Linked DNA regions of Oryzias latipes. The protein of the gene in region 2 purifies or fractionates together with the protein of the main gene of each other region. This does not show direct contact. Links are inferred from orthologs where the notes say so. Each region holds a gene or a part of one and is shown on either strand. Other genes may lie near its edges.

The links. The genes of interacting proteins can lie anywhere in the genome.
Region 1: the proteins of ube2m (region 2) and cops6 purify together in Homo sapiens (affinity purification with mass spectrometry; 3 studies listed by BioGRID and IntAct, counting the BioPlex papers as one, with this or other methods). This does not show direct contact. The link is inferred for Oryzias latipes from reciprocal best matches to the Homo sapiens genes UBE2M and COPS6.

The regions. Positions count from the first base shown.
Region 1 is NC_019868.2:6,638,719-6,643,018, forward strand, and holds the end of cops6 (COP9 signalosome complex subunit 6), read right to left. Parts: intron 4,055-4,300; coding exon 3,962-4,054; intron 3,804-3,961; coding exon 3,703-3,803; intron 2,103-3,702; coding exon 1,962-2,102; 3' UTR 1,651-1,961; downstream 1-1,650. Other genes in the region: leucine-rich repeat extensin-like protein 3, read left to right, coding at 1-130, 317-1,093. UniProt on the Homo sapiens protein: Component of the COP9 signalosome complex (CSN), a complex involved in various cellular and developmental processes.
Region 2 is NC_019866.2:193,710-199,771, reverse strand, and holds the start of ube2m (NEDD8-conjugating enzyme Ubc12), read right to left. Parts: upstream 3,387-6,062; 5' UTR 3,198-3,386; coding exon 3,083-3,197; intron 2,137-3,082; coding exon 2,042-2,136; intron 1,279-2,041; coding exon 1,240-1,278; intron 1,172-1,239; coding exon 1,068-1,171; intron 983-1,067; coding exon 919-982; intron 243-918; coding exon 102-242; 3' UTR 1-101.

The DNA.
Region 1 (4,300 bases), on a different chromosome or scaffold from region 2:
CTCAGAGAAAGCCAACGGCTTCTTGACTCACTCCAGACCCAGACGTAACGTGGAACCGAAGTGGCACAGAGGAAACCCAGACTTCCAGTCCTACTACAGATACTACAGCAGTATCGGACACGTGGAGGGGGTACGACACCTGGAACACATTGTTGTCTCCATATACTCATGATCTCCTGAATGCAATCAGGTTTCCTTTTATCAGAAATCCTCAATCAGGGTGTAGTAAAGCTGAGCGATTATTATGATCAGATTTGGTTAAAATGTTGTTTTTTGGTCTGTAAGTCTTTTGCCTGAATATGTTTTCTTCTCTCAGCTCTATGAGATCGACAAGCTGAGGATGCTCTACCAGCAGATGAGGTATCTGGAGCAGACGTACGGTCCCGACGCCCCGTACTACCAGAACAAACTCGTGCCAAAGATCAAGTGCGACCCAGCTACTGACAAATCGTGCAAACTCCCACCTCCGCCTCCTCCCATGAAAGGGCTCCCAAAGCCCACAGAACCCCCGATAATTCCTCCACCTCCCCCCGCCATGTCTCAGGCTGACGTGCTCTTCCTCTGCAACAGCAAGGACCCCCTCTGCAAGCCTCACATCGTCTACCTGCCTTCAGGCGCCGTGCCTGTACTCTGTGACCCTCGCTACCACCCCCACTGCACCCCTCAGAAGGCCCCACCAGCCCCCGTGGTAGTGCAGAAACATCTTCCTCCTCCTCCTCCTCCAAAGAAGTCTGCTCCACCTCCACCTCCAGTCTACGTCAAGAAGACCCCCGTGGTCCCTGTCCGTGCCTTCAAGGGCATGGAGTATGACTGCGACCCCTACTGGGACCCCGACTGCCTGATCGACCACCCTCCCAGGTCCATCAAGGGAAAGATCGAGGCGCCTCCACCAACTCCCCCACCTGAGGAGGAGCCGGTAGAAGAGCCGTTACCCCCCGCTCCCAAAGAAAAGAAACTAACCTACCCACACCCTTACCCTTACTACTACTTCCCCCACCCGTATGACCCCAGGGATGACCTTTATGACCCTGCTCGCTTCCAGTACCCACAGCCTGATGCTGCAGCTGATGAGCCTGCAGAGGAGGGGCATTGATAATTAGGTGGGAGGGGCGGTGAAACAGCTGTCTTTAAATGGAGCAGGCTGATTGACACCAGGCATAGAATACAGCTGTGATTAGATCCGTCTGGATTCAGAATCACCTTCAGCATGAGGGGAAGCGGTTTTTACTCAACATGGCCATTCATGCATTTGCTCTTTGAACAGATTTCAAAATAAAAGTCAGTTTATGGTTTGACATTTGCATAGACACACGTTTCCACGCCGGTGCAACGTGGCAGCTAAACTAAAGTGTACCGACTCAGACTGGAGATCATTAGGTCTGCTTCCGCTGTACATCTAACACCCAAATAAAAGCTGACTCCTGCTACACGTTGCACTCAGTGGAGCCGTGTCCAGCCTCATTTTTTTTCTGCTGAATATTCCCGTCTGTCTGAGCCCACATCAGCCCATCAAACAGCGGGAGGACGACTTCAAACGACCTGCCGACAGCGAGCTGCAGCAAACTTTCACAAGCTCGTTTAAAAGTGCAGATCTGACACGTCCCTTTAGAGCCAGCTTCATGCAGCTCCTTTAAAAAGAAAACTCAAAAGTCCCATGAAAAAAAACAACAGATCCTTTATTACATACAGAAACATGAGACTAGAAAACAACCCGGGTAAAAGACAACATTCGTGTACAGAGGGTTCACTGCAGTGCAGAAGAGTGGATCTCTGACTGACGTCTTTAAGTGCTCTCAGATTGTGGCTGAGGATGGTAAGTGGGTCTGAAAAACCGCTGAGGCTGTGAGCTTCTATTAGCCAATCAAAATACACACAAAGCGCAAAAAAAAATTAAAAGGTAGGGAGAGACCAGGGGGAAAAAAAACCCCAAACTGCAGCGTGTCGTTTGCATCTCCAGAATCTCAAAAGAAGAGTCCTCTCATCCTGCGGCCGATGCCCTGTCGGTCGTAAAGGACGTTGAATTTGTTGATGAACTGGTTCATGCTGTTGCATGTCTTGGTGATGGTGCCTAAGTAGGCCATGAGGCCGACGTCGTTGCATTGCTGCAGGGGGGGAGAAGCAGAGTGAGAGTGAGGCACAGATTCAACAGTCATCTGCAGCAGGAAGCAGAAGAAAAAAAATTATGAAAGAATGTGCATCTTAAAAGCTCTTTTGATTTATCCATCAGTCCATTGAATCCCTTTTGGGATCACAGAGCTGTTGGAGCCAACCCAGCTGCTGTCACAGGTCCACACAGAATCACAAATTACCCCATGAAGCAGGAAGCCGGAGTACCCGGGGAAAACCCTCGGGGAGAACATGCAAACTCCACACAGAAAGGTCCCAGCTGGGATTTGAACCAGGACCTTTTTGCTGTGAGGCAAGAGGGGTAACCACTATTCCATCATGCATATTTAAGTCAATTATATTTGACTCATTCCAAATCTAATAACATCTAACATTAAAAATGAGAGGTGATAACCAATCGAGTAAGAGTGTATTAAGACAGATTTGTTTTTAGATCAAATATTGTTGGTAGAACTTCTATCATTACAATTGAAAATGTACATTTTCTAAAAACAAGTCAATGTTTGATCATCTTAGACTCATATTTTGTACAATTTAAACTTTAATCATTGCACACAAATTACTTCTGAATATTAAGAATCTTTCCATCCTATTTAAAATCTATTAGGATATATTTAGTTTACATTTGATAGTTGAATTAAACATCATGACACTTTGGGGGATTTTTTTTCTCTCGTCTTAGTAGTGTTTTATTTTATGAGCAAATTCTTTTATAGTGTTAAACACAAAAAAGCGTAACCCCTTAAGACCCAGGCCAATAGTTGAGGTAACCCTCTGAAGTCACAGGAACCCAGATAAGCAGAACCACTCTGGTAATTTCACCCGAAATGTGACGCCTACAAATTTGAACGCCACGTCTTAAGAGGTTAAAGCACTGAAGCTTCAATGCTTTGGGGGCAACGATTATAGAAACAGTTAAACAGTTTTTGTAATAAAAATCACCAAAAAAAAAAGTCAAGATTTCTGCCGGTTTTATGACAAGAGGCTTAAAAGACGGAAATACCACCAAAAACACTTTTTGTGGCAGAGGAACGTTAATAATAATAATAATAAAAATGTTTGAATATGTGAGAAATTTATTAGACCACATTTTTTGTTTTTTTTTAGTGATACAAATAGGAAGTCCATTAAATGAAAATCCTTTGTCAACCACTGATAAAATTTAGCATAAACTTGAAAGCGAAGAAAGGTAATTTTTTTAAAGCTGGAAATAGGTTCAGGTGTCAAGGGGTTAATTCTTAAAAGGAAAAAAGGTCAACTCTAATATTTATAATTTATGAGACCGAGATAAAATACTTGATTGGTTGTGAAAGGGAAGCATCTGAGCTTATGGACTAGAAAATACGTTTCTGTGGGATTCATGATCCTGAAAGTGCAGGAGATCCAGCATGTGGATCTCCTTCTAAAGAATGGTTAAGAAAATAAAAGCCTGTATCTAAAAAGGTCATAAAGAAGCAGCATTGCATCACAAACAAGAAAGCATTCTACCTTTTAGCAAAGACAGTTTAAACCTCAACAAACAAAACTTCTAAGGTAAATCTCAGTGGAATTCCTTTTTTTTTAACATGTTCTTACATCATAGAAGTCCGTTTTAAATTTGATGGTGCTGAGGACCGGCAGTCTGTGGCACAGGGCGTTTGCTTCTCGAAGGATCTCGTGGTTAAATGGCACCTCTCCTGTAACACAGCGGAGAGGTCATGTGACTGCCGCTGATGCTGCCGTCAAATGGCGGCTTGTTATTAGACAGGCGTGTTGGAACATCTCACTAAAGAACACCTGCTGCTCTTCACGCTCTTTGCCTTTAGCGCCCGCCTCATAAATAAAGCAGACTCACCTGCTTCCACGGCTTTCACGTACTCTAGAATGATCTTCACTCGGCTGTGGAGCATCTTGATTGCACTATGCTGAGCTATGAGGTGTTCAGCCACTGAGGAGGAGGAAGGACAAGTGTTAGTGTTAATGACCTGAAAGCACTTCCACAGGTCTGTCAGGGTCCATTTTCAGCAGCTTGCTACAGATGTGCATTCACCCAATTCATTTATTTCACAAAAGAAAAAGAAGCTAAACAAAATGACATTTAAAAGAATACAAAAAGAAAAAAATAGATTTTATTTGGAAGAAAATAAATCATTTTCCTCATTACAAGAAAGAAAGATCCACATCAAATATTTCC
Region 2 (6,062 bases):
GCTTCTTTCTTCTGCGTGTGACTTCCTGTTTCCTGCTGCGGCCCCCCAGCAGGGCTGAAGAGCAAACGGGTGGGGGGAGGGTGAGATGGTGGGACGCCCAGCTATTTCAGACATCTCTCAAAGTAGGTGGCGCCCACATAGCCCCCCCTCAGGGAGCGATGGACATTCTGCTCAAAGAGCCGCCGGTTCGTCTGCAGGACCTCCGCCGCCTCCTTGTTCAGGGGGTCCTCCGGGTTTGGCTCCTGGGGGGTGGAGTCGAGCGTCAGTCGTGTCAGTGACACCAGCAGAACCGCGGGTTCGGACCACCTCAGGGATTCACAGGGGCCCAGACACCAAAAGAACCGCCGCTGCACGGTTCCGTTTGGTGTCCAGTCCAACTGAGAGAACCCAGGGAGTCGCTTCAGACGAAGACTGAACCCAAATACAGTCTAGAACCTTCTTCTCTCATGGTTCCGAAACCAGAAACATCCGGAGTCACAAAGAGTTCTGAGCTTTGTTCCATCAGGATGAGTCTTCTGAAGGTTCTCCACCGTAGAACGGTTAAAGAACCTTCAGGTCCAGTTCCAGCTTCTGGACCTGAAGGTTCTTTAACCGTTCTACGGTGGAGAACCTTCTGGTCCAGTTCCAGCTGGAGTCTGAATCAAAGCAGGCAGAAGACCCGCCTCCACCGGTTCCAGGTTCTCTACGTTGGGCTGATCCCACTGGGTCCACTGTTCCCTAGCAGAACCGCTCTTCCAGATTGCTCCTAGATTTAGCTACGGAATGGGGGGGCAGCTAAGGCGTCCCCTTATCCAAATACGCCCCGCCCACTGACAGGAGTTTCCCAGTTGGGAGGGGCCCAGTGGGTGACCCTCCTGCAGTATGATTGGCTGACCAGCAGACCCCCCCCCCTCCCCCAGATCATGTGACGTGTCTTACTAGAAAGAGATACTGCAGACCGTAGATGATGGAGTTTATCGTCAGAACCGGCTTCCAGTCCTCTCTGTGGAGCAGAAGAGCACACATGAACCTCCAGAACCCCCCCCCCCCCCCCTCGCTGTTCGGATCTCCGGTTCTGAAGAACTGACCTGAGGATGTTTAGACAGACGTTTCCTTCCAGGTCAATGTTGGGGTGGTACACCATCGTCTCACACTTCACTTTGGGGGGGTCGTGGGGGTAACCCTGTCCTACCTGAAACACAAACTCTTATGATGTCTGCGAGCAGAGAAGGGGCGGGGCCAAATGACGCGTTTGCTGACCTTAAAGCTGAAGACGAACTTCCCTCCTTTGTAGAAACCCTGAGACAGAAACACAGGTTAGCTGCAGGATGCTGCCCCCTCCATGCCCCCCACTCTGCCTCAAAACCCCAATGTTGTGACATGGCTGTGGGGGGGCCACAGCTGAAGCAGCCACTTACAGGGCAGCACTACAAAATATGGAATCTATGAAGCATGGTGGCGGAGGACTAATGGTATGGGCTCAGAGCCTCCACCCCCAGAGTAATCAGAGTACTCTGGTATGACAGGCAAGGCTCAAACCCATGACACGCCCAGCCCCCCTGGAGACCCGTCTACCAAAAACTGGTTTTGCCTGCGACTGGATCCGACCAGCACCGCAGTGCCACATGAGTGTTCCGCCTGACAGCCCGCACTCTGGGTTTAGCTCTCTGTCTGTCATCTGTCTGCAGTTTAAATAAAGTTTTACATGAGGTCCCTGACGTGAACACAAGCAGCAGCAGGACTTTGACCAATCATCTCAGGGGAGAAGAATCACGGAGTGGATTCATGAGGAACATGATGATGAACAATCATGAAGAATTCCTTCTTTTTGCTTCCACTTGGTTTGAAATTCCCTCCGGGAGTTCAACAGGATACCTGGCTTTTATTCTGAAAATCCAGGTTAACTGCTGCTCTTTGAAATGCTCCAGAATCCAGCAGGAACACGAGGAACCTCGGCTACATGATGTCCATCTGTGGTCACATGACCCCCCCCCCCCCCCCCCACACACACACAGCCGAGTGTAAACGTGAACGTCTGCACTGCTAGGAATCAAACACGCACCTCATCCGGCGAGATGATGAGCCTGAAGTTGAGTAGGTCGTCATCGTCGGGGAAGCTGATCTCGCACGTCTTTGGCAGGTTCAGCTCGTTGATGTCTGGAACACAAACACCTGCCGTTCAGGATCCTTCTCTTCATCACAGGACAGCACCTGGAGGGTGCACCTGGAGGGCGCACCTGGAGGGTGCACCTGGAGGGCGCACCTGGAGGGTGCACCTGGAGGGTGCACCTGGAGGGCGCACCTGGAGGGTGCACCTGGAGGGCGCACCTGGAGGGTGCACCTGCGCACCTGGAGGGTGCACCTGCGCACCTGGAGGGTGCACCTGCGCACCTGGAGGGTGCACCTGCGCACCTGGAGGATGCACCTGCGCACCTGGAGGGCGCACCTGGAGCCAGCCCCACCCTACCTGAAATAGCTTCTAGCTCTGGACATCATACTATGTTTGCATTTAGGCTCTGCTTAGACATTTCAGATTGGACAATTAAATCACCCGAGTCCCCCCCCCCCCCCCCCCCCCACTCCTCCTGTTTGGTTCTGGCCAACTTCACTCCAGATTTGCCCCCCTGTCCCCGGTGGAAGGCGTGTACCCCTTGTGCTATCCTAGGCACTTTAACATTGGGAGTGGGGTCATCTAGACCCACTAGACAGTGGGTCATCTAGACCCACTAGACAGAGCTCTGAACCTTTTTTCTTCAATGATTTGTGATCTTCACTGGTGTCCATGGATTACATGAAATCTTTCCACCTTTATCCACCTTTGTCATGGTAGGGAGAACACCTCAATGGAAGGAGGGGGGGGGGTCATCTGAGATAGCACAAGGGTTAACCCCCCCACAGCTGCTCATCACTTTGTTTTCGAGGTTAGCCGTGGCTAACAGCTAGCAGCTAGGTTAGCATGCTAGCCGTTAGCCGGAACTGTCGCCGCTGCCGGCCCGGACTTCCCTCCGTCCGGGGACCGGAGCTGCCTGAAAGCGCGCAGACAGCAGCAGGCCCTCCCGGAGGACCGGCGGCGGTCCCGGGCCGGTGCAGAGGAGGAGCCCACCTTTCTGTATTCGGAGCTGGGCCGCGCTGGCTTTCTTCCCCCCGGCTCCGGCTCTGTTTCCTCCAGCAGATTCCTCGTCTTTCTTCTGCTGCTTTAGAGAAAACAGCTTAATCATCTTCACCTTTTGATCAGGGGGGGGGGGCAAGCTAGCGAGCCTTCGGGTTGCGCGGTCCCTCCAGGTCGTCTGGGACTGTTCGGAGGTTCGGATCGGTCCTAACAGCACCGGAACGTGGACGAAGCCGGCGCGTCTGAACGGGTCTCTGAACGCGGCAGCTGCTAGCCTGCTAGCCTAGCCTGTTAGCGGGGGTGGGGGGTGGGGTGGGGGTGGGTGTCATACGGACCCCCCCCCCCCCCCTGCTGTGAAGAAGTTCACTGGAAAAAATGTAAACAGAGAAAAGTGTAATAAAGTTGAAAAACATTGAAATGTTTCTGTTCAGATTTGGATCGAGCTTTAATTTAAAACGATGGAATTTTTACAAATATAAATAAAAATAACAAAAACAGTAACAACAAAAACTTTGCATACTTTGGTATTAATTGTACTTTTGACATTTTGCGTTTATTACTTTAATAATAGTCATTTTATTCTCTGGGTAACATTTTTCTGTTTCAAAAATTACTTTTTTTTAATTGTATGTTTCCTTTTTTCTGGGATCCTGAAGTACTCATTTCTCTGTGCGCGTGCGTTTAGGGGGTGCGTGCTCGGAAATAGTAAATGGACAGTTTTATTGCTGTTAAATTCGTGCAACAGTGAATTGATATTTCCCATAATGCCCTTTTCCACCCACTTCCCTGTTGTGACGTCACCAACAGAGGTGGGGCGTACATGCTGTCGCTCCCCATTTTTATTTACTTCATTTATTTATTTATTTTGCTGTTGCGTCTCCCTCCCACTCTGAGGCGGCGTGTGCGGTCACCTGCGTGATGTAATCAGTGCGGAGGTTAAACGTGTCAGGGCGGCGCGCGGGCTCCGGATCACGCTTCTCACGCCAACACTAGGCGCGAGAACAATAGCCGCGCACAGCGCTCACGCCAGCGGCTCCTGGCTGCGGGGGTTTGTGCGGGAGCGAAAGGAGCGGCGCCTGCGTGATTGCGGGGAAGGACACGCGGAGAAGAAGGCGTAAGCTGCGGGTAGAGAGAGATAGATCCACGCTGCAGAGAGAGAGGCGGAGTGCACGCGCATCCATCCGAGGCCTGATCACCTGATCGATATCGATCAGTTTCAGATCGATGTTTGGGTCCCGCGTGCGTCTCTGAGGCGGGGAGGATGGGTCGCGCGTGAGGGCTCCGGGGCCGCCGCGGCAGAGAGGTGTGCGGGGGGGTGTGATAAGGAAGCGGCGGAGCTAACGGGGCTAACCGGAGCTAACGAGGCTACCGTCCATTCTGATGAGCCACAGACGAGCATGCGCGCCCCAACGAACAGGTGAGAGACCGTTCGCGTGCGTGCGTGCGTGCGTGTGTGTTTGAGGGAGAGGGAGGGGGGGTCCATCTGTCCCGGTCCCTCCGGGGCTTCTGCACCCGGTACCAGGGGGAGCAGCCGCGGGGGGGCAGACAGCCTGCTAACCTGCTAGCGCATTAGCATGCCTTTCCCTCGTGATCAGGTGAAGTGAGGGGTGGGGGCGGAGGGTCATCACAGGTGCGTGATGGGCAGATTACCAGAACTAGTGGCGTAGAACGGCTGCAGGGGTCCGCGCTCTCACGCACCGACCTGCTTACTGTTGGCCTTTAGCCGCTGCATCTGCGCACTTATGCTCACCTGTATGATACCAAGCCCCGCCCCCAGGTGAGCAGTCCCTGACCCACAGACCACAGCAGAATCTTCTGGGCCTGCAGCTGAGACCAGGGCAGAAGCTCAGGTCCAGACCTGCTGATTCTTCAGGTTCTGCAGGAGGACTGGGTGGTACGGTCCACCTGCAGCCCCCGGAGCGGTCCACCTGAGCTCCAGGAGCGGCTTCAGATCAGCTGTAGGTTAAACTCTGTAGACGTTTACAGATGAGGAGGATGAGGATGATGAGGATGAATTCTATTTGTTTCCTGGAACCAGAAGTCCCCCTTCAGGATTCAGACAGAGTCAAGAACCCAGATGACTGGATGTGAGTCAGGAACGAGTGAGAACGTCAGAGTAGAACGTTGAAGAACGTCAGAGTAGAATGTTGAAGAACGTCAGAGTAGAATGTTGAAGAACGTCAGAGTAGAATGTTGAAGAACGTCAGAGTAGAATGTTGAAGAACGTGTGAGAACGTGTGAGAACGTCAGAGTAGAATGTGTGAGAACGTCAGAGTAGAATGTTGAAGAACGTGTGAGAACGTGTGAGAACGTCAGAGTAGAACGTGTGAGAACATCAGAGTAGAATGTTGAAGAATGTGTGAGAACGTCAGATAAGAATGTTGAAGAATGTGTGAGAACGTCAGATAAGAACGTTGAAGAATGTCAGAGTAAAACGTTGAAGAACGTGTGAGAACGTCAGAATAGAATGTTGAAGAACGTGTGAGAACGTGTGAGAACATCAGAGTAGAATGTTGAAGAATGTGTGAGAACGTCAGAGTAGAATGTTGAAGAACGTGTGACAACGTGTGAGAACGTCAGAGTAGAATGTTGAAGAACGTGTGAGAACGTGTGAGAACTTCAGAGTAGAACGTGTGAGAACATCAGAGTAGAATGTTGAAGAATGTGTGAGAACGTCAGAGTAGAATGTTGAAGAACGTGTGAGAACGTGTGAGAACGTCAGAGTAGAACGTGTGAGAACATCAGAGTAGAATGTTGAAGAATGTGTGAGAACGTCAGATAAGAATGTTGAAGAATGTGTGAGAACGTCAGATAAGAACGTTGAAGAATGTCAGAGTAAAACGTTGAAGAACGTGTGAGAACGTCAGAATAGAATGTTGAAGAACGTCTGAGAACGTGTGAGAACATCAGAGTAGAATGTTGAAGAATGTGTGAGAACGTCAGAGTAGAATGTTGAAGAACGTGTGACAACGTG